Linked DNA regions of Alligator mississippiensis. The protein of the gene in region 1 purifies or fractionates together with the protein of each later gene. This does not show direct contact. Links are inferred from orthologs where the notes say so. Each region holds a gene or a part of one and is shown on either strand. Other genes may lie near its edges. The genes, in order: CYTH2 and INAVA.

Evidence for each region.
Region 2: the proteins of CYTH2 (region 1) and INAVA purify together in Homo sapiens (co-immunoprecipitation; 3 studies listed by BioGRID and IntAct, counting the BioPlex papers as one, with this or other methods). This does not show direct contact. The link is inferred for Alligator mississippiensis from reciprocal best matches to the Homo sapiens genes CYTH2 and INAVA.

What each region holds. Positions count from the first base shown.
Region 1 is NC_081828.1:38,811,233-38,821,512, reverse strand, and holds the start of CYTH2 (cytohesin-2), read left to right. Parts: upstream 1-6,176; 5' UTR 6,177-6,304; coding exon 6,305-6,323; intron 6,324-10,280. Other genes in the region: KCNJ14 (ATP-sensitive inward rectifier potassium channel 14), read left to right, coding at 1,187-1,789. UniProt on the Homo sapiens protein: Acts as a guanine-nucleotide exchange factor (GEF). Promotes guanine-nucleotide exchange on ARF1, ARF3 and ARF6. Activates ARF factors through replacement of GDP with GTP.
Region 2 is NC_081837.1:33,170,552-33,180,947, reverse strand, and holds the start of INAVA (innate immunity activator protein), read left to right. Parts: upstream 1-5,742; 5' UTR 5,743-5,921; intron 5,922-10,396. UniProt on the Homo sapiens protein: Expressed in peripheral macrophages and intestinal myeloid-derived cells, is required for optimal PRR (pattern recognition receptor)-induced signaling, cytokine secretion, and bacterial clearance.

The DNA.
Region 1 (10,280 bases):
GGATGCCCCCATTAGCCAGATGCCATCCCCACATGTGGAGAACCTGCTGGGGGGGAGGGGGCAGAGTCCTTCCTGAGCCCCTTGGCCACGCCCCCATTGTCATGGCCCCACCCCTAGACTATGGCTATCTGCCCATGCAGTGACCCCCGTCCACATCTGAAGGTCCTGCCCAAGATGTGGCCCTGGTATATCCCAAGCAGAGCTCCCCACCCACTTCCCTAGCCCCCTCCCTACCCCACAATGTAGCCCCACCCTCTGCATTGACTCTGCCCACTTGCATGCATAGCCCCTGCCCTGGTTACTCTGACCCCATCTTTCTGCAATGGCCCTGCTCTACCCATGGCCAGTCCTTGCCTGTGGCCTTTCTCAGAGCGCTCCACTGGTGGGGAAGGGGAGACATATGCATTGGGGAGAGTCATGGAAGCAGGTGGGGTTGATTTGCACAGCGTAGGCCCAGCAAGTGAGGTAAGGGGGGGGGGGGGGTGCGCACATGCAAGCTAGGCACAGATCCAGTAGTTTTGTGTGGGTGGGTATGTCGCACAGATCCAGCAACAGGGACTATTGTATGGGTTTGGGTGTGAAGAGAGGAACATGAATCCAGTGTGTGTGTGGCTGTGGCTGTTGGGGAAACAGCTACAGCAGATGCAGGGAGGCTGATATAGAAGTGGCATGGATCCAGTGACCATGAGTGTGTGTGTCTGTGAAGCACAGATATAGCAGCCAAGGTCATGTGTGTGTCTATTAGGGGCATGGACACATCAGTAGCAAGGGAGGGAGGGGTGTGCGTGGTGCATGGGTGTAACATGGAACCTATGGGTGTGAACGTGCACATGAGGGGGGCTGAGCTGAGGACACAAATGCTGCCCACCCGGCCACTGGTGGGTGCCAGCATGGTTAGGCAGGGGACACTAAGAGCCCTGCTACACGTTCATATTAATGTTGGATAGACACCAGCTATAAAGTTGTTACACATTTTCAAGCACTAACTTTGTAGCTGGTCAGCTTTTTTTTTATAGCTGGAGGATCATTGTTATAACAGGATAAATTATTTTGCACATGTGGCCAGTCTGAATTTATTGCGCGATTCACCAGCGAATTGCATAGTATATGAAATGTGTGGCAGGGGTGGGACTTGACTCTGGTTGCCTCATCCCACTGACTCATGCTCCCCCTGCCCTTCCTGCAGCCCCGCGTGACCCCGGAGGGTGAATACATTCCCCTGGACCACCAGGATGTGGACGTGGGTTTCGACAATGGCACCGACCGCATCTTCCTGGTGTCACCAGTCACCATCGTCCATGAGATTGACAGCGACAGCCCCTTCTATGAGTACGGCCCATCCGAGCTGGCAGCCGCCAACTTCGAGCTAGTGGTCATCTTGGAGGGCATGGTAGAAGCCACAGCCATGACCACGCAGTGCCGCAGCTCCTACTTGCCAGGGGAGCTGCGCTGGGGCCACCGTTTCGAGCCCGTCCTCTTCGAACGTCGTGGCCGCTACGAGGTGGACTACCGGCACTTTCACCGCACCTACGAGGTGCCTGGCACACCCCAGTGCAGTGCCAAGGAGCTGGGGCAGCGCAAGTTCCATGTGCCACCCACGGCCACCCGCGCCTCCTTCTGCTACGAGAACGAAGTGGCACTGAGTGCCTGCCGTGAGGAGGAGGGGGAGGAGGAGGAGGAGCAGCAGCCAGGGGGTGGTGGCAGTGGAAGGGGCCTGGCTAGTGACAAGGGCAAGGAGGGGAGAGCAAGCAATGGCCTGGAGGCCACGGAGATGCCCGGTGGGACATGATGGGTCAGTGGCATCAGACTGTGGGGCTGTGGAGGAGGAGGAGGAGGAGAAGGGGGAGGAGGAACGCAGCAGTGGCTGAGGAGAGCAGGGCAAAGGGGTCCCTAGGGTTCCCACACCTGAACTCTGGGCAAGGGGAACCCCCCAGCCTGTCTCCCCTGGGAAGTCAAGAGGGGAGCACCAGGGGGAGCCCAAGCCTGTCTCTCCTCTCCTTCACCCCCGAAGAAGACGGGGGGAACCTAATGCTAATGGGACAGCCCCGCCCCGCCCCATCTCTCACCTGCCCATGGGCAATATCCAGCCCCTGCCCCAGAGCCCAGCCTGTACAGACCCAGTCCCCTCTACACCCACTCCTGGGATTGTCAGGGGTTGGGGCCCCCTGTATGTAACTGGGGCTCATTGCTGCTACCTCCTTTGAGGACACTGCTGAGCTGTCCCGCTCCCCCAGCAGCCCCATCCCCGTCTTGCTCTGGCTTTTAATGGGGGAAAAGATGCTGTTAACTGGGGGTGGCACCCCCTGAAAGCTCCCCCCCTTCCCTCCCCCCCCTCCCATTCTGCTAGCCACAATGCCACTTTAGTAGCCATGTTGGATCCAGCTGCTCCCCTGCCACTTAGGATGACTGAGGATCCCCAGGGAACTGGCAAGGCTTAGGGGTCTGTTCCTGGGGGATGTGGTTGTTGGGGGCCTTGGGGTCCAGAGAGGGCCCAAGCCATTAAAGAAAAGCCACATAGCACCACTGCCCCCTGCTGGCTGGGCCTGCAGCCACCCAGCTGTGTGTCAATAGCCCCATAGTGCAGTAGCACAGAGAGGCAGGGGCCTGGGGGAGTCAGGGCAGATCTCCCCCTCCGCCCCCCACATCCCCAGATCACCCAAGTGATGCAGATAAATACAGAAATAAAGAGAGAATTTGGAGAATTCTGGTCTGTATTATTCTTGCCAAATGAGGTGTATGGGCCTCATTCCCTCCATGCCAACCCCTCACCCACTCCATTGGCTGGATGCCTTCCCACACTGGGAAACCCCAACTCCAGGGGGCCCTGGCTCACACCCAGCCCTGGCATCACCTGTCCCAATCATTGGCAGGGCATGTTTGGGTGATTTCTGGTCTGGGCCTGAGATCCCAAAACACACAGGAGGGGCCGATTCTGAAGCATGTTTACATCAAGGGATTTGCTAGATGGAGACCTGGACAGATAGCTAGAGGCATGTGTGGGGAGGGAGGGATGAATGAATGCATGGACACTCTGTGTGGCCTGGTACTGGAGAGGGCTGTGAGGGGGTGGCTGAAGTGGGTAGAAGGCTGTGGGAATGGTTGACTATCTGCATGGGACAGACCATGAGCTGTGTAGGGCTTGGAGGCTGTGTGGGCCCAATGAGTTGTGGGGTGCCTGGGGCACCTTTGTGGGGCTGGCGGGCTGGAGCAAGGTGTGGGACAGGGTGTTAGGGTGGCTAGTGGGGATGTGGGGTCAGCAGGCTACAAGGTATTTGCACGGGTTGTCGGGAGCTGTGGGGATGACGGGTGGTGACGTGTCTGTGTGGAGGTGCTGAACTGTGGGCAGCTGTGGGGCTGCAGGATAGGGCAGAGGTGCCTGAGGCATGTGGGGCTGCAGGGTGATGATGTTGGGGGCTGTGGCACATCTGTGGGCTGGCTTTGGGGTGCTGGGGCCAAGCTGGCCTGTGGGCGCTCACTGAAAGACCACGCTGGCTGGGCCAGGCCAAGCTGCTGGGGTGTGTGTGAAGGTCAGAGCAGGGAGGGACAGCTTGGAGCCCAGCTGGGAGCTCACATTAATCTGACACAGTTTCAGTCGCTAATCCCAGCTGCTTAGCGGCTGCCCCAGCAGGGGAAATGGGGCCTATTAACTTGCTCCCCCCATGCCCCCAGGCCCAGCCCAGCCCCTGCCCCATGGTCCCCACCCTACTGGCCCCTGCATTGTCCCAGCCCATGGGGCACAGCGGGTCAGAGAGGGCTGCGCTCTGCTCTCAGCACCAACTCCAGACCCTGACACTCTCAAGGTGAGGCCATGTCACAGGTGTCTCAGCTGACACCCTGGCCGGCTGATAAACCCAGAGAGGAACATGCTCTTACGCCCAAAATAACCCCTCAAGAGCCCTATTCTTAGCCTATCGGGTTGGCAGGGAGGGGGTGAGAGTGGTGCTCTCTGACAGGAACTATCCAGCGCTAAGAGGTGGCTTCCAGGGGGAGATCAGGATTCAGCCCTGACCCTGCTGCCATCAGGGTGTGACTTCAAATTGATTTCAAACTGGCCCAGCAGAGCTGACATCAGGATCTGGCCTTGATCTCACTGCAGTTAGGGGGTGACTCCAGCTTGGTCCTTGGGGGTGGCTGAGATCAGAATCAGGCCCTCCACATCCCTCCCCCTCTGGGGATGGATCCGGACAGCTCAGCCTGGGTCAACACTGTCAGGAGATGGGTAATTCAGCTTAGCAGATGTCTGGAGCAAGGGAGCCTTTGGGCTTCCTGCTCCTGGGAAGCTGCTCCCAGATAGTGCCTGATGCAGGAGGAGCAAGGTTTAAGTAAGATCTAGTAAGGTGGGGAGAATCCACACCGGAGTCAGCAACCTTGGGAGAGACCCCCATGCTGGCAGGCAGCCAGCTGTGAGCTGCAGGGTGTGCATCCACTGCTGTGCACCCAGCCCTGGCTTCCAGCTCGTACTCCCCACCTGCTAATCCCTCCTCTGGGTTTCCCCACTGGGCTCCTTCCAACTCATCACCAGTGACAAGAGGCTCGGCACGACAACCAGAAAGGCAGGAAGTGCAGACGAGGATCCACTGCAAACAGTGCCCTTGCCTCCCGACCCCCAGCCCCTACCACCCCTTGACCTCCCCCTGGTACTGCCAGTGCCCCTCCCTCCTGCCCCACAGCACTCCCAGGACCCTGGTTCCTCCCCCCACACCAGGTACACACCGCATCAGCCTAGCCCCGGAGGGTGGCCACTGGGATCTACAAAGCCTAGGGGATGCAGTTCACCCCCATGTCCCCATCAAGAAAGTTAGGCAGGGCCCTGGCCAGAACCCTGCCAATTTCGGTCCCCCTCTGCGCGATCACCCCCCTGCAGCTAGTTTCAAGCGCCCCCTGGTGACTGCCACTGGGAAAGACAGCAGTGCTCCAAAAATGACCTGATCCCCAGCATCTCTTAGTTGGGGGTGTGGAGGGAGTGTAGGGGAGGTTGAGGAGAGGGTGGGAGTGCATTGGTGGGTTAATGGGGCTGTGGGTGGGAGGGGGATGAAAAGGGCGTGGGGGTGGGGTGTGGGGATGGAGGCTGAGGGCCTGGGAAGGGGAAAGTTTTGCTGGGCTGTTCAATGGAGGGGGGATGGGGTAAACTGGGGAGAGAGGGCTGGGAGTATGAGGAGAGCTGGGGATACATACTTGGATGTGGGGAGGGATGGCAGGTACAGGGCCTGGGAAAGGGGAAGGGGTGATGGAGGGGGCTGGATGGGCAGGGGGTGGGGGCAGCTGGGTGCAGTGGAGGGGTTGGGGCTGGTGGGATGGTGATGCATGCATCAGTGAGTGGGCAGCCGAGGGTGGCTGTGGGGGTATCGGGGAAGGCAGGAGGGGTGTACGCAGGGGGTATATGGGGCATACTTGAGCTGTACATGGGAGTGTACATAGGGGGGTGTGCTGGCTGTATACAGGGATGCACATAGGGTATATGTGGGGTATGCATGGGATGTGTGTAGGGGTGTATATGGCAATATATGGGCGTACATGGGGTGTGTGTCAGGGTGTACATGGGGTGGGCCAGAGGAGTGACAACCCCTCCCCCCTTGCCCTCCCAGCTCACTTTAGCCCAGGGTTATATATTTATTTATAGTTGTATTTTATTTATGAGTCTGATTTATTACTGCTAAGAGGCCAGGGATTGACCCTAGCAACGGCCCAGACCCCTCTAGTGCCTTAGCAACGGCTCAAGCCCCGCCTGCTCCCTATCGAGTCCGTCCATTGGGCGCAGTTAGGGCAGAGGCCAGCGAAGCTCATCTCTTATTGGTTCCTTTGTGTATCATTCATAGTGACTGGCGGCCCAGGAGCAGCCCCTGGCTATTTAGCGTTCCTGTTGGCTCTTTGGACAGTTAATCCAAGCAGAGGCGGGCTTGTTGGCAATCTCGAGCACTAAATGACCGGACTTCCTGTCAACAAGTTTCAGAGCCTACTAGTGTACAATTTTCCTATACTTCATTGGTTCATTTTTCTGTCAATCTCCGCGGTGGAGCAGGTTTTGTACGAACCCTTGTCCCCCATTGGCTGCTCTAGCTATCAATCTTAAATACTGCCCGTTCATTTGCCATCCGTCCCCAGCTATTGGTTGCTGCCGGTGGGAAGGGGTGGGGATTGCAAGAATCGCGCTTTCCCATTGGCTATTGCTCGGGGAGGAGGCGGGCTATTCCCCGCAGTGCTGGGCCGGGCGGACACGAGAGGAGGAAGCAGGCGTTGCAACGGGAGAGCCGAGGAGACTAGACGCAGCGACAAAGAAGCTCCCGCCGGGGCTGGGGCGTTTACCATGGAGGACGGCGTCTATGGTAGGGGCCTGGGCCTGCCCGCCCGCGTGGGGTGAGCCGTACCATTGTATGGGGGTGTGGGCGGAACCATCCGTGAGGAGGGGCCGGGCCGGGCCAGGCCATTTCCTGCTTTGAGGTGGGGCCGGTGGTGCTTGGGCCGGACCGTTCGCCTCAGTCTTGGAAGGGGGTGGGCGAGACCATTCCTGTTGTGCTCGGGGGGGGGGGGGCTGAACCATTTCGTTCTTTAAGGGGGAGGGCGGGGGGGGTCTCTGGGAGGGTGGGACTGAGTAATTTTCTTACCTGTGGAGGGGTCGGGGGTATGAACCATTCCCTTCTCTGTTATAGGGGGCTGTGAGCTGAACCATTCCCTATGTTGGAGAGGGGAGAGAAGAGGGTGGTCTGTGCCATTCCTAGTGTGGGGCAGCGCAAACCGTTTTCTCCCATATGAAGGGGAGTGGAACTGCACCCCGCCCTTTTCTAAGAGTGTTTCTTGGCATGTATGGGGGGTTGGGCTAAACCATTCAATTCCCTGCTGAGGGAGGGAAAACCTGCAGGTTGAACCATTTCCTTCCTAATTGCATAGGGTCATGGATTGAACCATTTTTTCCCCTGTGTTGGGTGGTTGGGGATGAACCATTTTCTCTGCCCCCAACCAAACCTCTCCATTGACTTCCCCCTCCCCCCATGATGGGGGTGCTGGGTCCTTGCCCTTCTGAAGGTCCTGCCCCATCACTTAGCCCCACCCTTGATGTTTAGTCCCATCACAGCCCCTGCCTGTTGGCCCAGGAGGCCAATCAGGTACTTGGCTTGGGAACTCCTTGGGGCAGGGACCCTCCCCTGGCTGGTGCTGCTGTAGCACTGGGATTGGGGCCCAGCCCCGCCCTGGCAAGCACCTGCCCTGGGGTGCCCCTCCTCCTGCCCCATCAGGAGCACAAGCAACATGGCCACTGCCTCCTGCCCATGCTCACTTCCCAGCTCCCCTCCCTTCAGCAAGGATGGTGTGGCTCCTGCCATCTGCCTGGTGCATGCTCTTGTGTTGCCATAGTGATGCCCCTGTTTTTGGGAGGAGGGCAGGGGGGCACTTACGAATGAGTTCGCAGATAAACCACGCATCTCCTCCTCCCTACCGTGTTCCCACGGGAGCCTGCTTGTCCTAAGACCTTGATGAAATCCAGCAGGGACGTGGGCCTGGCTGGGCCCACCTGCATCCACCAGTCCAGCTTCCTGTGGTGACAGACGGCCACGGCACCTAGTCCCACAAGCTCTAGCCTCGGACCAATTTAGTCCCAGGCTGTCACTGGGAGGTCATTCCAACATCTCACTGCACCCCTGCATAGGGACCTACCTCTCCTCTTCCTTGAGCCAAACCAGCCTTGATCACTTTGCTCTTGTGCTTTGGTATCTCTTCTGCATTGAGTCATTTTACTTTAAATGCTCTCCAGAGGTGCCTTTGCTGACAGCGGTTTGGTTTGCAAGGAACGGGCTTGCTGCTGTTTGGTAGAGGAGGGTGCTGAAGGGGCCACTGTCCAAGCTGTTCTCAATGATTACACCCATATTATTGAGTTCCTTTAGTTCGTGTAGTCTAGACCAGGGCTGTCCAGCTGGTGGCCCACAAGCACAACCAGCCCTCCTCTTGCTTCTGCTTCCTGCTCCATGTGGGTGTCATGGTACCAGGGGTGTGGATGTCACTGCCCAGGCTGCCCACATGGTGGGCAGGGACCCTCACACTGCAAAGGGGTGGACCCCAGAGGACCCATGTGATGTGTGGCCCCTGGCTGCTCAGGAGTTGCACAGCCGTGTTCTAGATTATGGATTGCCCCAACATAAGTAATAGGGCCAAGAGCCGGTATCCTGAATCACAGAGATGCTGGGAAGCAGGCAGGGGTTGAACTGTGTAAATAATTGATATAATTTTTTGGTTCACTGGTCAATTGATTCATGAAATGGAAGCAATTCATTTAGGACTTGTGGTGTGTGGGGTTTTGAATGCAGTTTAAATGAACTTTGGAGCCAGCCCCCATTTGAAAAAATAATTAGAACTTACTGAATGGGTCAAACCAGACCTCTGGACTCTTTCCTTTTTCTTGTTATTTTTCTACTACAAGTGAGACAAATGTTGCACCACTGACTTCCCTGCAAACCCAGGACTGGTATAGCTTCACCCAAATATGCCTTTTTCAGGGAGTGAAATATTCAAGGTAAAGCATTTCCCCAGCAGAGGACAGGGTGCTGGCGGAAGCCAAATGGATGGGAGCTGCCTGGTCATCAGGACACAGCCTTTGCAGTGGTAATAGCTGCATCAGTAGGAAGCAGCCAGGTCAAGCCAGGATTTTATCCATGTGATTAAGGCGCACCAATGTCTATAGCCAGTGGCACCCAAGGTTGTAATATGGCTGGTATCACATCTGGGCATTTTGACTCTCCAGCCTGAGTGACCAGGTCTCCATTTGCACTTGGAACAAAGCAGTGGCCTTTAGCAAAAATCCAAAGAAGGGCTCGGCCCATGCTCCTGGAGTCATAGCAAGATCCTCAACCACTGCCACCATTCACCAAGCACCGGCTCCTGGTTAATGATTGCTTCCTTGGGGTAATAATTTACAACAATGCAGGGAATGGGACTCAGTGACCCAAGAGTACCCTGCAATCCTATGTTCCTATGTGGAAAACGCCTAGAAGACTTAGATGAGATGACTCTTGTTGGTCCAGCTATCTAGTTGTGAGAGATGTTAGACAAGCTTTTGGGCACATTGTGCCCTTCTTCAGGACCAAACTCAACCAAGAGGGCACTTTGTGCACAAAAGTGTGTCAGTTGTGTCCCAATGGTACAGTTGTTTGATCAAGGGTACAACAGTACTCCAGCCCTAGTGAGGATGCTGCACTAGTGACCCCTCTCAGAAACCACGCAGAAGAAATGAATAACTTGCCAAAGGAAAACAGGTGAAGCGGGGTTTGAGACCATCTTGATGAAGACAAATATCTTTGAAGCCTATTAAGAAGACATTGGAAAGCAGAACCATTGTGGAGGCCTGCCTATTGGGATGTCACTCTCCCAGCCAACAGGGGTCTCACAAAGGAAGTAAGATTCAAGATAGCTGCGGTAGCCCTTCACCAGAAAGACATATAGAGACCAAAGCTAGGCAGCACCAGAACTACATTCAGGACTCCAGCTAGGGCATAAGCATGGTGACAGCATATGGCTGTGAGAACTGGAGAGCTACCAAAACATTAGACAGGAAGAAAGATGACTTTGAAAACAAGCACCCACAAAAAGTTCCAAGCTTCAGAGGAAAAGATTTCATCTCTGATAAAGATAGCCAAGAAATTGCCTGCTGGCAGCCCACCAGGATGAGAAGGAGGCACAGGGATGTATGTGGAACCTGGACTCCAGGGACCTCTACATAGACTTCCACGGGAAAGCACCAGATGGGAACAAAACTGCAAGGAGGAGCTGTGGACCAGCACAGAAACCCTTAGGAAGACCCCTTAGCAGGGCAGCTGAGCCCAACACTGCATTGCAGGAGGAAACAGCAGCAAGGAGAGGGAAAGGCTGGTTTCCTGGTGCACCAGCTCTGCTTCAGAAAGGAGGAAATGGAAGGCAAAATCATTAGTATAGCACCTGGTACCATGAGAACATGGGCGACTGGTGCCACCTGAGTCAAGGAGGCCACATCCCCCCTCCCACCCCCCACCCCACTCAGCAACCGGGAGGTGGGGTCCCCCACAACCAATCTCGCCAACCAGTGGGGGGGAGGGTGCTCCCCCCACGACCAATCGCACTGACCGGGAAGTGGCTGCAGCGCTCCCAGAAATGCCAGTGGCACTTCACCTGGTGCCCCCACTCCCTGACCGGCACTCGCAGGGGGGGCACCGGTGCTCCCGCCTGCCCCCGTGCCTGTCACCTAAGCAAGGAGCTCGGCCAGTCGGGGTGCACGTGCACCACCTACACATCACCACTGCATGGGAACCTGATCCCAGACT
Region 2 (10,396 bases), on another chromosome or scaffold:
CAGATTAATATGTATATGCATATGCCTTAGTGATCTGTATGAGATGAAAATTGAGGAATAATTATAAAGGAGGAGGAAGTAAGAAAGAGTGGGACACAGTAAAGAAAGCAAATGTAAGAGGAGAATAAAGCAGTCAAAGAGAATAACACAAGAGTAGAATTCTATTACTATTTGCATCCTTAAATAGCAGTACTCTTTGGTACCTATGCACAGGTTGTGATTCTATTACCCTTGCACTGTGGATGCCTGTTGAAGGGCAGATTGCCATCTAAGCAGAGCCACCTGGCCTCAGCTGCAAGCATCAAGCTCATTCACTGCAGTCAGCTGGACTTAGCATATAAGCCCAGGTCCTTAAGTAGGGTTCTGGGTACTTGACGCCTCATCTTGCAGCAGTTCAGCTTTGGTGTAGCACAGTCTTGCTCCAACCCTGGACTTCAGTACCTCATCTTCTGCCTCATCTGCTGTATTTCTCGATTCCCTGGGTTCTGACCTGGAACGTTGGACACAGATATTGTTTAGGATTAGAAATGGGACTCTGCCTGGTTTTTACCCCTTTGGTACAGATGCAACTGCATCTGGATTCCCTGCAGGTTCAGGTACTTGGCTGGCTAACTCCAGGTTTCATAAGACTTGTTTGGTGTGGCCCATCCTTACAATGTGTAAGAATGCATGTGTACACCGAATATGCAGAAGATGATGTACTGGCTGTGTGTGCACACTGAATATGCAGAAGATGATGTACCGGCTGTGCGTGTACATTGAAAATGCAGATGATGCACTGGCTGTGTGTGTACCTGACTAAGTCCTGGAAGGGGAAAAAAGACCTACTGGTCCTCCCATAACTTGGCAGCAAAGACTGAATGGCTAAGTTGCTTACCTAAAAAGGTGGAGCTGAATTCTATGCTTCAGGGGGTCTGGGTTATTCTTCTCCTAAAACACTGGGGGGGAAAAAACTATATACAAAAGACTGGCTTATCTAGCATGGAAACTCAGAATCTGTAGATGCAGGGATAGTGCCCTATGACTGAAAAATAGCAAATGTAGGCCCCACTTAAAGGTGGGGAAGGGTGGGGGGAGAACTCAGACTAAATGCTTGTGAAATTATAGTTAAAGATATGGCAGGGAGTAGAAAATGGGATAAAATGTAACATAGATTTAGAATAATGATGCTAGTTGGACATAATATTATATTATATTATTAGATAATAGGCTTCGTTAAGGATAATGCAGTGAACTAACTTAGCTGGATAAAGGGAATCAAGAAATACAGCGGATGAGGCAGAAGATGAGGTACTGAAGTCCAGGGTTGGAGCAAGACTGTGCTACACCAAAGCTGAACTGCTGCAAGATGAGGCATCAAGTACCCAGAACCCTACTTAAGGACCTGGGCTTATATGCTAAGTCCAGCTGACTGCAGTGAAAAAGCTTTTGATATTGTGCCTCATGGAAAATCACTTTCCAAACTGGAAGGGCTGAGAATCAGCGCTACAAATCCATGAGCTAGACTAAAGCAAGGTATATTAAAGGAGGAGTTGTCTGACTAGAGGGCAGTTACTAGTGATGTTCCTCTAGGGATTAGCCTTGGGAGCCTGCTCAGTAGGCCCTATTGCCCTTGGTGTGCCTAAAGGGTGAGCGTCTAACAACATAACTGCTATTTTCAGCACTTGTGCATAGGTAGTAATTCTATCAGCCCTGCGCTATGGATGCATGCGTGTGCAGTAGGCTAGGCACTGTACCTGAGAATAAGTCCAGGTGAGGAAAAAAGATGGGGATCATCACCTGTTTTGACTTCAAGAACTGAGTGGTTAGGACACTTCCCCAGGAAGCAGAATGCTCAGGATCTATGCTGCTCCTTGCCCTGAGGGCTTGAGATGCATTTCTCTGACTCCCCTGCCTGCCCCCACACCCTAACCCCTCTCCCCCTTCCCATCACAGTGCTCTTAGCACCATGTCTTTCTTTCTACTTGCTGCCCAGACAAGCCCAAGCTGCCCTTATAGTCTGGATGGGACTGGCTGCAGGCTGCCCGAGTGCCCTCATCTGTTGCATGATCCTTGGCTACCTGTTTTCTCGGCTTGACTCCCGCCTGAGTCCTTGCCCAGCCTGAATCCCCTGCCTCATTCCTGCCTGAATCCTAGCCCATGTCCTCTGCTTTGATTCTCGGTTTCTGGAGTCCTAGTTTGTGACGCTCGTAGCATCTTGCTCCAATCCCATGCATCCAGGTTGTGTCTGTGACATGCCAGACCACATACACATCATACAGAGCCCCAGGCCTCTGTGGGGCAGCCTACAGAGGAGGATGTGGAGCCCCTGCACAGCTCCCCAACCATTCCAGTTGATGGCTATTATGTGCAAGGGGTGGTGGCTCATCCTCAAAAGGTGTGCTGGAGAGAAGAGTGGAAAAGACCTAATCTATGGTGTGGTGGTTAAAGCACTATGTGGAGAAATTGGTGATATAGGCTTAAAACCCTTCTTTGGTGACTGAATTTTAACTTGCATCACTGTGACTTGACTTGTTAGGTGATGGGGACCAGAAACCCAGGTCTTTGGCGTCCTAGGTAAGTGCTTTAGCTGTTCAGCTCTTGGGGCTAAAACTTGGAATGGGTTTTCTCCTTTCCCAAACTTCATTGCATGATAACATACCTAGTGTGTGTACATGGCCTACTCAGTCTACACATTGATGCATGCATGTCTGTTATACGCAGTAACAGGCCAAAAAAATGCAGCTAGGAAATGGCCATGTAGGTGCACAGTGACAAACAGAATTCCATCCATCCCATTTAAATGTTTGTAAGTGACCTTAGCACTGGGGCTTGAAGCATCCTCATCAAATTTGCAGAACTGGATCAGCTTGTGGAACAAGATGGCGAGTTCGGGCACACAAATCGGGGTGTGTGATGTGGAAGTATGTAACTGAGGTCCCCAGGTTGAGCTCTGCAGTGAGAAAAACATGGTAACTCCAGAGCTTTGACTGGCTTTTACTAGATGCTAGTTGGGGACATGCATGACAATTAAAACAGAAGTGAACAGATAGAAAAGACATGCATTAAACTGTGTTGTGTTTAAATCTACCTGGAGCAGTTCAAAAGGGTGCCTGGAAAATCAAGTACTATTTTGAACTGGTGCACTGTGAACTGATTCAGTGGTTGTGTGTGGACTCACCTTTCTATGACACTAACCTGGCCAGTCTTCCAGGAATCCCAAACTGCATCACTTCTCGCCTCTCCCACACACTACTGCAACCGACTGCTCTGGTATCGCTTCTCAGCCTTTTGGCTAAGATCAAGTGTAGTCCCATCAACTGCACCATCCTGGGCTGAGAGCCAGCTGTTGCCCAGACATCCTTGCAGCTGAGGAGGAGAACAAATGCATCGTGATGGCTGATGTTGCTATCCCATTGGAGAACCAGCAGCAAGCCTTTGTCGAAGCCTGCAAGTGGAATTTGACAGTACAAGCTGCTGGCAGGTGCTGTGAGTACGGGGCTGCAAAGTGATGGTGCAGGCACTGATTGTTGGGGTGCTTGGAGCATGGGACCCCCGGCAACAAAAGCATCTTGTGTGCCAAGCTGATGAGACAGCTCATGGTGTCTGACACCATCAGATGTTCCAGGGACATCAACATGGAGTGCATTGCGAGTGAGTGCCAGTATGTGGACACCAGCAAACTACTGGCTGGAAGCAACTTGGAGGAAGCAGTCTGATTTTTTTTTCCCCCCCTTCCTCCCCCCACCAACAGATCATGAGCTAAAACTGCTTCCCACCTGGACTGTCCATCACCTCTGCAATTATACTCCACGTGCTGTTGTTTGTACCTGCATATGTATCCCTCAGAGCCCACAACTCTACAATAATGCAGCTTCCTTGCACAGGGCCTTTGTATCTTATTCCCTCGGTAAGCATCATGCTTTTACCTCCCTTATCCCTCACCCTAACTCATCCCCTACCTAAGTAGGCTACGTTCTCTCTGCATAACTTAGTTGCATCCTCCACGTACCCACCCACCCAGTACTATGCAACTACCCTTCCCTGGGTCTTCTGGATCTCTTTCCACCTCTTCAACTCTGTAACTTCCTACTAAGATATACTAATAAACTAAATAAAGTATGTAGCCAGAGTCCTACTGCCCCCTTTTGCTGGCAATTATTTTTTTTAATCAATGAGCTCCCTTGCATATTCTTTGCTCAATAAAAGTTGTTTTTCCAACAGCCAGCTCTGCCCTGATTCCCTACTTGACTTCAGCCCAACCTCATGCCTCCCACCTGCCCGGTCCCAGGCAGTACCTGCCCCCCCTCCCCACAACCAAAAAGCGAGAGTCCAAGCCCTCCCCTCCTGTCTCCAAGTCAGGTGAGCACATTGCAAATGACTGCAGCCTACAGGCTATTGAAGTTTATTGAGCTTTGACAAGTGACAAGGCTAGGGAATGAACTGAGAATGTAAACCCCAAATCTGGGCTTCGACTAAACTAAAGGACAGCAATTGGGTTAGGGAAGGCCAGTGGGTGGCTGCGCGGGGATGCTGAGGAGTGGATGCGTTTATTGTAACAGGTACGTGGTTTCTTAATGTGGTTTAAGGTGTGTGATGGAAAGTTTTATGCTAGATGGTGGGGGGGTATACTATAAAAGATTACTAAGCTTACATTCAGGAAGCAAATGAAAGCAGGAAAGGGATAAGGCCCTCAGCCACACCTGGGACTCCCAAAGCATTTGTCCACTGCAAGGCATGCTGGGCTGGGTGCTCACTCCCACCCTGGTGTGCAAGCCACAACAGTTCACACCATTGTGAATGAATTCCCCCCGGAAGGATTCGATTGCAATGTGTGTCCACATCCTCAGAATCACACTGATTCCCGGCACTGGGGTAGGAAGGGTTTTTGCTCCCAGACCGACTGGCCCAGGCACTGGGGGTTTGCTGTCCTCTGCGGTGTAGGGAGCAGAGTCCCTTTCATAGGAGAGTCTTCATAGACATTAGGGCTGGAAGGGACCTTGTAAGATTATCGGGTCCAGCCCCCTGCCCAAGAAGCAGGAAGTCAACTAGGGGAAAACATCTCAGCAAGATAAAAGTCCAAATGTTTCATAAAGGTGTCCAGAGTAGGTGTTTGCACCACCTCTCAAAGTGGTAATTTAGAAATACAGGGGACTAGATGCAGTGACAGAGGCAGCCCCTTCCACTCGTGTTTCTGTTAAGTTCGGGTTTTAACCCAGCTCCCTGTGTATTGAATTTTCTCAGTTACTAAGTAGCACACAGTTAAGCTGGCTTTCCAAATAACTCATTAATTTGCCATTGTGTGCGCTGACTAGCTGGCAGATTCCAGCTAATCCATCACTAATAGAACATTAATAGCCAGCTGCCTCGCACACTTTCCTTGTGGGCTGATCTGAAAAAAACTCTCTGATTCCTTTCTTTCCAGACTTTCACCCTGGGTCTCTCAGAAGAAAAGCAACCACAGGGGAGGCATTGTGCTGCTTGGAAGAAGTACTTCCAAGACTCAGTGAATTACCCTTTCCTAAGACTAGGGCTGGTGGGATCTGAGCAGGAAATGGGGACCAGGAGCAGGATCATTATTCTCTTCTCTGCTAAAAAAACAATACAGTGTTCAGAGTAACAACAAAAATCCAAGGCATGATACTCCACCCTGGCATGCCTCCTCCTTCTCAGGGCTACTTTAGTGAGGCTTGAACAAGTTTTAAAGCATACTAACCAGCATCTCCCCCTCTTTTCCTAAGGGATTGGTATGCCCCAGGGACAGATGTCTTTAGATCTTCAACCTTTGGGATGTAGCTAATGCCTAGTTAAATTAAATAAGGGGGGGAGCTTTGCAAAAGCAGCAGTCTGGGTGATGGAAGCAGTGTAAATGAAATTCCTTGGGAGTGATTAAAAAAAAAAAAAGGAAGGAAACAGCTACAGGACTAGTTGCTTTTTAGCAGGTAAGTGAAAACAAACTTGAACTCTGTGAAATCTGATCTGCCTAAAAGTATCCTAGCAATTTGAACAGGAGACATGTGTGCAGGGTGATCCCCTATAATTAAAGATGTTGCTGTTTGAACATGTTGCACTCAGCAGAAATTTGCAGTCGCCAAAAACAGTTGTTTGTTTGTTGGTTTTAGGTAGTAGTTTTCTCCTGATGGTTTCCCTCCTCAGATTTGTGGAAATGTTTGTTGCTTTGTAAAATATAATTTTGAAATTGTGTTCATCTAGCACCAGGGCTGAAAAAAGGAGGGAGAGGCAGATGAGACAAAGACAATGGGCCAGATTCTCAGCTGGTGGAAATGAATCAAAGTTCACTAGTTTGAATGGGGCTACTCCAATTTACACTTTATGAATTCAGGCCAGATGGCTGGAAATTTTATATTGGCTACTTGCAAGAAGACATCCAATCAGAAAGAGGATTTTTTAATTTTATTCCTGTAAGATCACTTACATAAGGTGAATAGTTTGTTCTGTGCTGGCGCACGGGACTCCTGGGAAATTATTAGTTCAAGCCAACGTGCTTGTCCTTTGCTCACATTGTAAGAGAGCAAGGATTGGAGGAGTTATGAATGGTGCCAGTCTAATTTCAGTCTTTCAGCTCTGGCTTTTTAATTCAGTGCAGGAATGAAGTGAAGCATTACTCAGCTGTCTCTGCCTGAGAATCGGAAAGGCTCTGAACCTGGTTATTTCTTCTCAATGGACTTGTATAACTTCTTTGTTACATGTTAACCCACAAAACAAGAATCACATGTTTTAAGAATCCCAGGGCCAGGACCCAAGCTGGTGTAAATCAATTTGTTGTGGCTGGTGTTAGTGGAGCTATGCAAATTTACTCCTGTGGAGGATCGTGACTGCAGTAGCATTTGAAAGCGCTGAACAGGATGGAGACCTTATTGTAATAGGCCCGGAACAAGAAAGCAACACAAAATTAGTCCCTCCCTGTTCTTACAAGCAAAGAATTACTAATCATAAGGATGGGCCAGGCCTGCAATATTTTGATTTGAGTTTCAAATTCCAGGAAGGTACATTCTGGTCATTCCCATTGAAGTCAATAGGGAGTAAACTCTATGGTTTTCAGTAGCAACTCTGAATCCACACCAATGTGACTGAGACCCAAATCTGAGTCAGTGAGTGGACAAAAAAAAGTCCAAGTGTGAATTTTGGAATCTGTGTTGGGACTCTGAAATTTTGGGAGTGAAGAGGACTGAAGCTATAGCCAGAGATCTAGGTATTAAAACTGAGATCAAGGCCTCACTGCACTAGGCACTAAACATCCACACAACAATAGACAGTCCCTAACACAAAGAGCTCAAGCTCCAAGAAGACAAGAGTGGGGGTGGAGAAAGGAAATATCACTAGCCGTGTACAACAGGTGGAAAATAGGGTCAAAGAGAAATTAAGGGCAAAATCCTATTTCACTTTACATATCCCAATGGTACTTACCCACATTTGTAAATGCCATTTTGGACATTTGCACACAATTTATAACTACTCCACATGCACGTGGCTATTAAGCATGCTCAGTAAGCTATATGCTGGCTAGGCAGGTAGGTGGATCTATGCAGTCGCTCATGAATGAGTGTAAGTTCCCAAACTTTTGCTGGGTAAAACAACCGGTGTTAGGTGCTGGAGGGAGGGGGGCCCCATGCTTTAGCCCACTGCTGGAGGCACTCACCTGGGTTCTAGACCTACTCATCCAAAGGAGGTTTCATCATCTCTGACTTCCCAGCACAGTGCTCTAATTACCACACCACAGGAAAGTCACTGTCTAGACCTTCTTTTGCAGCTGGACCCCAGAAACAAGAGCACGTGCTTGAGGATGTGTGGCTTAATGAGATGAGCCTAGCGTTAGCCTGAGCCACTGGTTCCAAACAGAGCAGTGCAAAGGCACCTCCTGAGCTGCAGGTTCCCTGAGCCCCTCGGGCTAGCACTGCTCTGTTCCTCCTCCTGGGGTGGAGGCAGGAAATGGAAGCTGGAGAAGGGAGGGGGAGCCCAGGGACCCTGGCAGCAGCAGTAGAAGAAATGAAGGGAGAAGCACCTGGACTGGGAGCCATGAGTTAGCCACTCATGGGCTGGATGTGATCCACAGGCTACCAGTCGGACAGATGTGACCTACAGGTTGGGTGGCTCTGTCTTAGAAAGTAATGGCACAGAGAAGGACTTAGGAATCATAGTAGATAATTGCCTGCATGTGAGTTCTCAGCCCATGCTGCAATTAAAATGGTTAATGCAATCACTGGATGCATAAACGGAGAATATCAAATAGACACAGAAAAGTGATCTTGCCTCTGGACACAGCAATGGCGAGGCAATGACTCATGCAGTGCGTCCAGTGCTGGTATCCACATTTGGAGAAGGATGTGGAATTACTGGAAAGATTTCAAAGGGAAAGGGCAAAAATGATTCAGAGGCTGGAATGCAAGCCCTGTGATATGAGCTTTAAGGCACTCACTTGATGCATCTTACCAGACAAAAGATTGAGAGATGACTTACTTGATCACTGTGTGTAGTGGAAGTTATCTGATACTGGGGGCTTTGCAAAGGGTAACCTGATCCAGTGACTGGAAGCTGAACTTGGGCAAACCCAACTTTGAAATAAGATGCACTTTCCTAGCAGTGAGGGTGTTTAAACATTGCAACTGCTTTCTAGGGGAAGTGGTGGACTCATCATTGCTTAGAGTCTTAAAATGAGATTAGGTGTCTTTCTAAAAGACAAGCTTTGATCCAAATTCTGGGAAAAAAATCTGTGACCTGTGTGTGTTTGGATGCCGGGGGATCAGGCTGGTCCCTTCTGGCCCCGGTGGATGTGAATCTCTGTTCCTGTGTTTGTCCTTTTCTTCCATAGGCTACAGAGAGAACAGAAGGGTTGTTAATGTGCTTTGTCTGAATTAAGACAATGACTCTAATAATCAATTCTCATGCTTGAGGGCTTCAGCTGGTTACCTGCAGTCATTTGGACTTTTTCCCCCTGTTGCACAGTTGGCAAGATGTATTCTGCTTGCTCGTTTTGTGTTTAGCATTCTTTGAAGCCTCAAGGATTAGCTGTGGCTGAAGACAGGGCATGGGGTGCTCTCCTGAATCCCATCCTCATATCTCAGCCACAGGACCAGCTTTCATTTCCACTGGAGCTTAATGGTTCTCATCTGATTCTACCAAGATGACCCGGTATGTTTCCCATTAAACCTTCATTTTCAGCCTTCTCTGAACACAGTTAAGAATTGACCTCACCTATACTCCTGACCCTTAATCCTGCACTGGTGTATCCAGAGAGTTACTCAAACATACACTTCAATCCTTACCACCTGCCAACATACCCACGAAGTGATTGCTACAGACAACTTAACCCTCACCCTAATAACATGCCTACAGTGTGCTCCCCCAACACCCTGGCTCTCACCACTATGCCCGTAAACCCACAATGTAGTAGTGTTCAGATGGGGAGATTACTCAGGGATAGTGGGTGCGTTTGGTGTGCATGGGAAATTTCTCAGGGTACGGCGTGTGCTAATGTTGAAACTTGGGATGCTTATGTGTGGTCTGAGGGTGTTTTTTGGGGGTTGACAGGCACAGACCTATAGGAAAGGGGGCATAGGCTTGGAAGGGACATTGGGGGAAGGTGGGAGGGCATTGGGTGGGGGAAGTAGGAAGAAATTTCTTGTATTTGGCTATAAATGGTGGTTGGGAGGCATGGTTTAGATTGGCTGGAAGGTTGTTTTGCTTGTAAAGGGGTTTGGGCAGGGAAGAGGTGGTTGGGGAGGGAGGAGGGGAGTTTGAGTTCTCAAGTTTCAGGATGCTCTTAAGGGAATCCTATCCAAAGGTTATTTGTGTGTTTATATTGTCAGCTGCTCTGGGCCTTTTGGATAGGACAGGATGCAGATCAAATAAATAAATACATGTGGATGCTGGCACTCAGTTCTTGGGTCCAGCAAGTGACTTCTTTCATATCTTCATCCTTCAGCTGGACAAGACTCTGCCATTGAAGTCCTTCTCTTGGGCAAGAGCCCTGCTTTGATCCATCCCCTGTTGCCCAGGGGCTGGGCACTCTGCTACACCTCTGACAGAGGAAGGGGAGCTGGCAGGGATGGTCTGGCTAAGGAGCAGAGATACTGGGGCAGCCGTAGATTTTCCACTGCAAATCCTTATCCAGTACAGAGTATAAATGGGGAGGGCTACATGGGAGTAAATTGGATCAGTATAAGCTTGAGAAAACTGCATTCACACTGAGGAAACTGGTACAGTTGAACTGTTCAGGGACTGTTAAGGTACTGGAGCATTTGTTTGCTGACAAAGGGTGGGTTGGGTGTGGCAGCTTAATCTTTTGTCCGAGGACATTTCTGCCGCACATCAGCAGTCTATTTGTCATCAGAATATCTCAAAGCACTTCATTCATCTAGATCAGTATTAGTGTCCCTATTTTACAGGCTTGGAAATG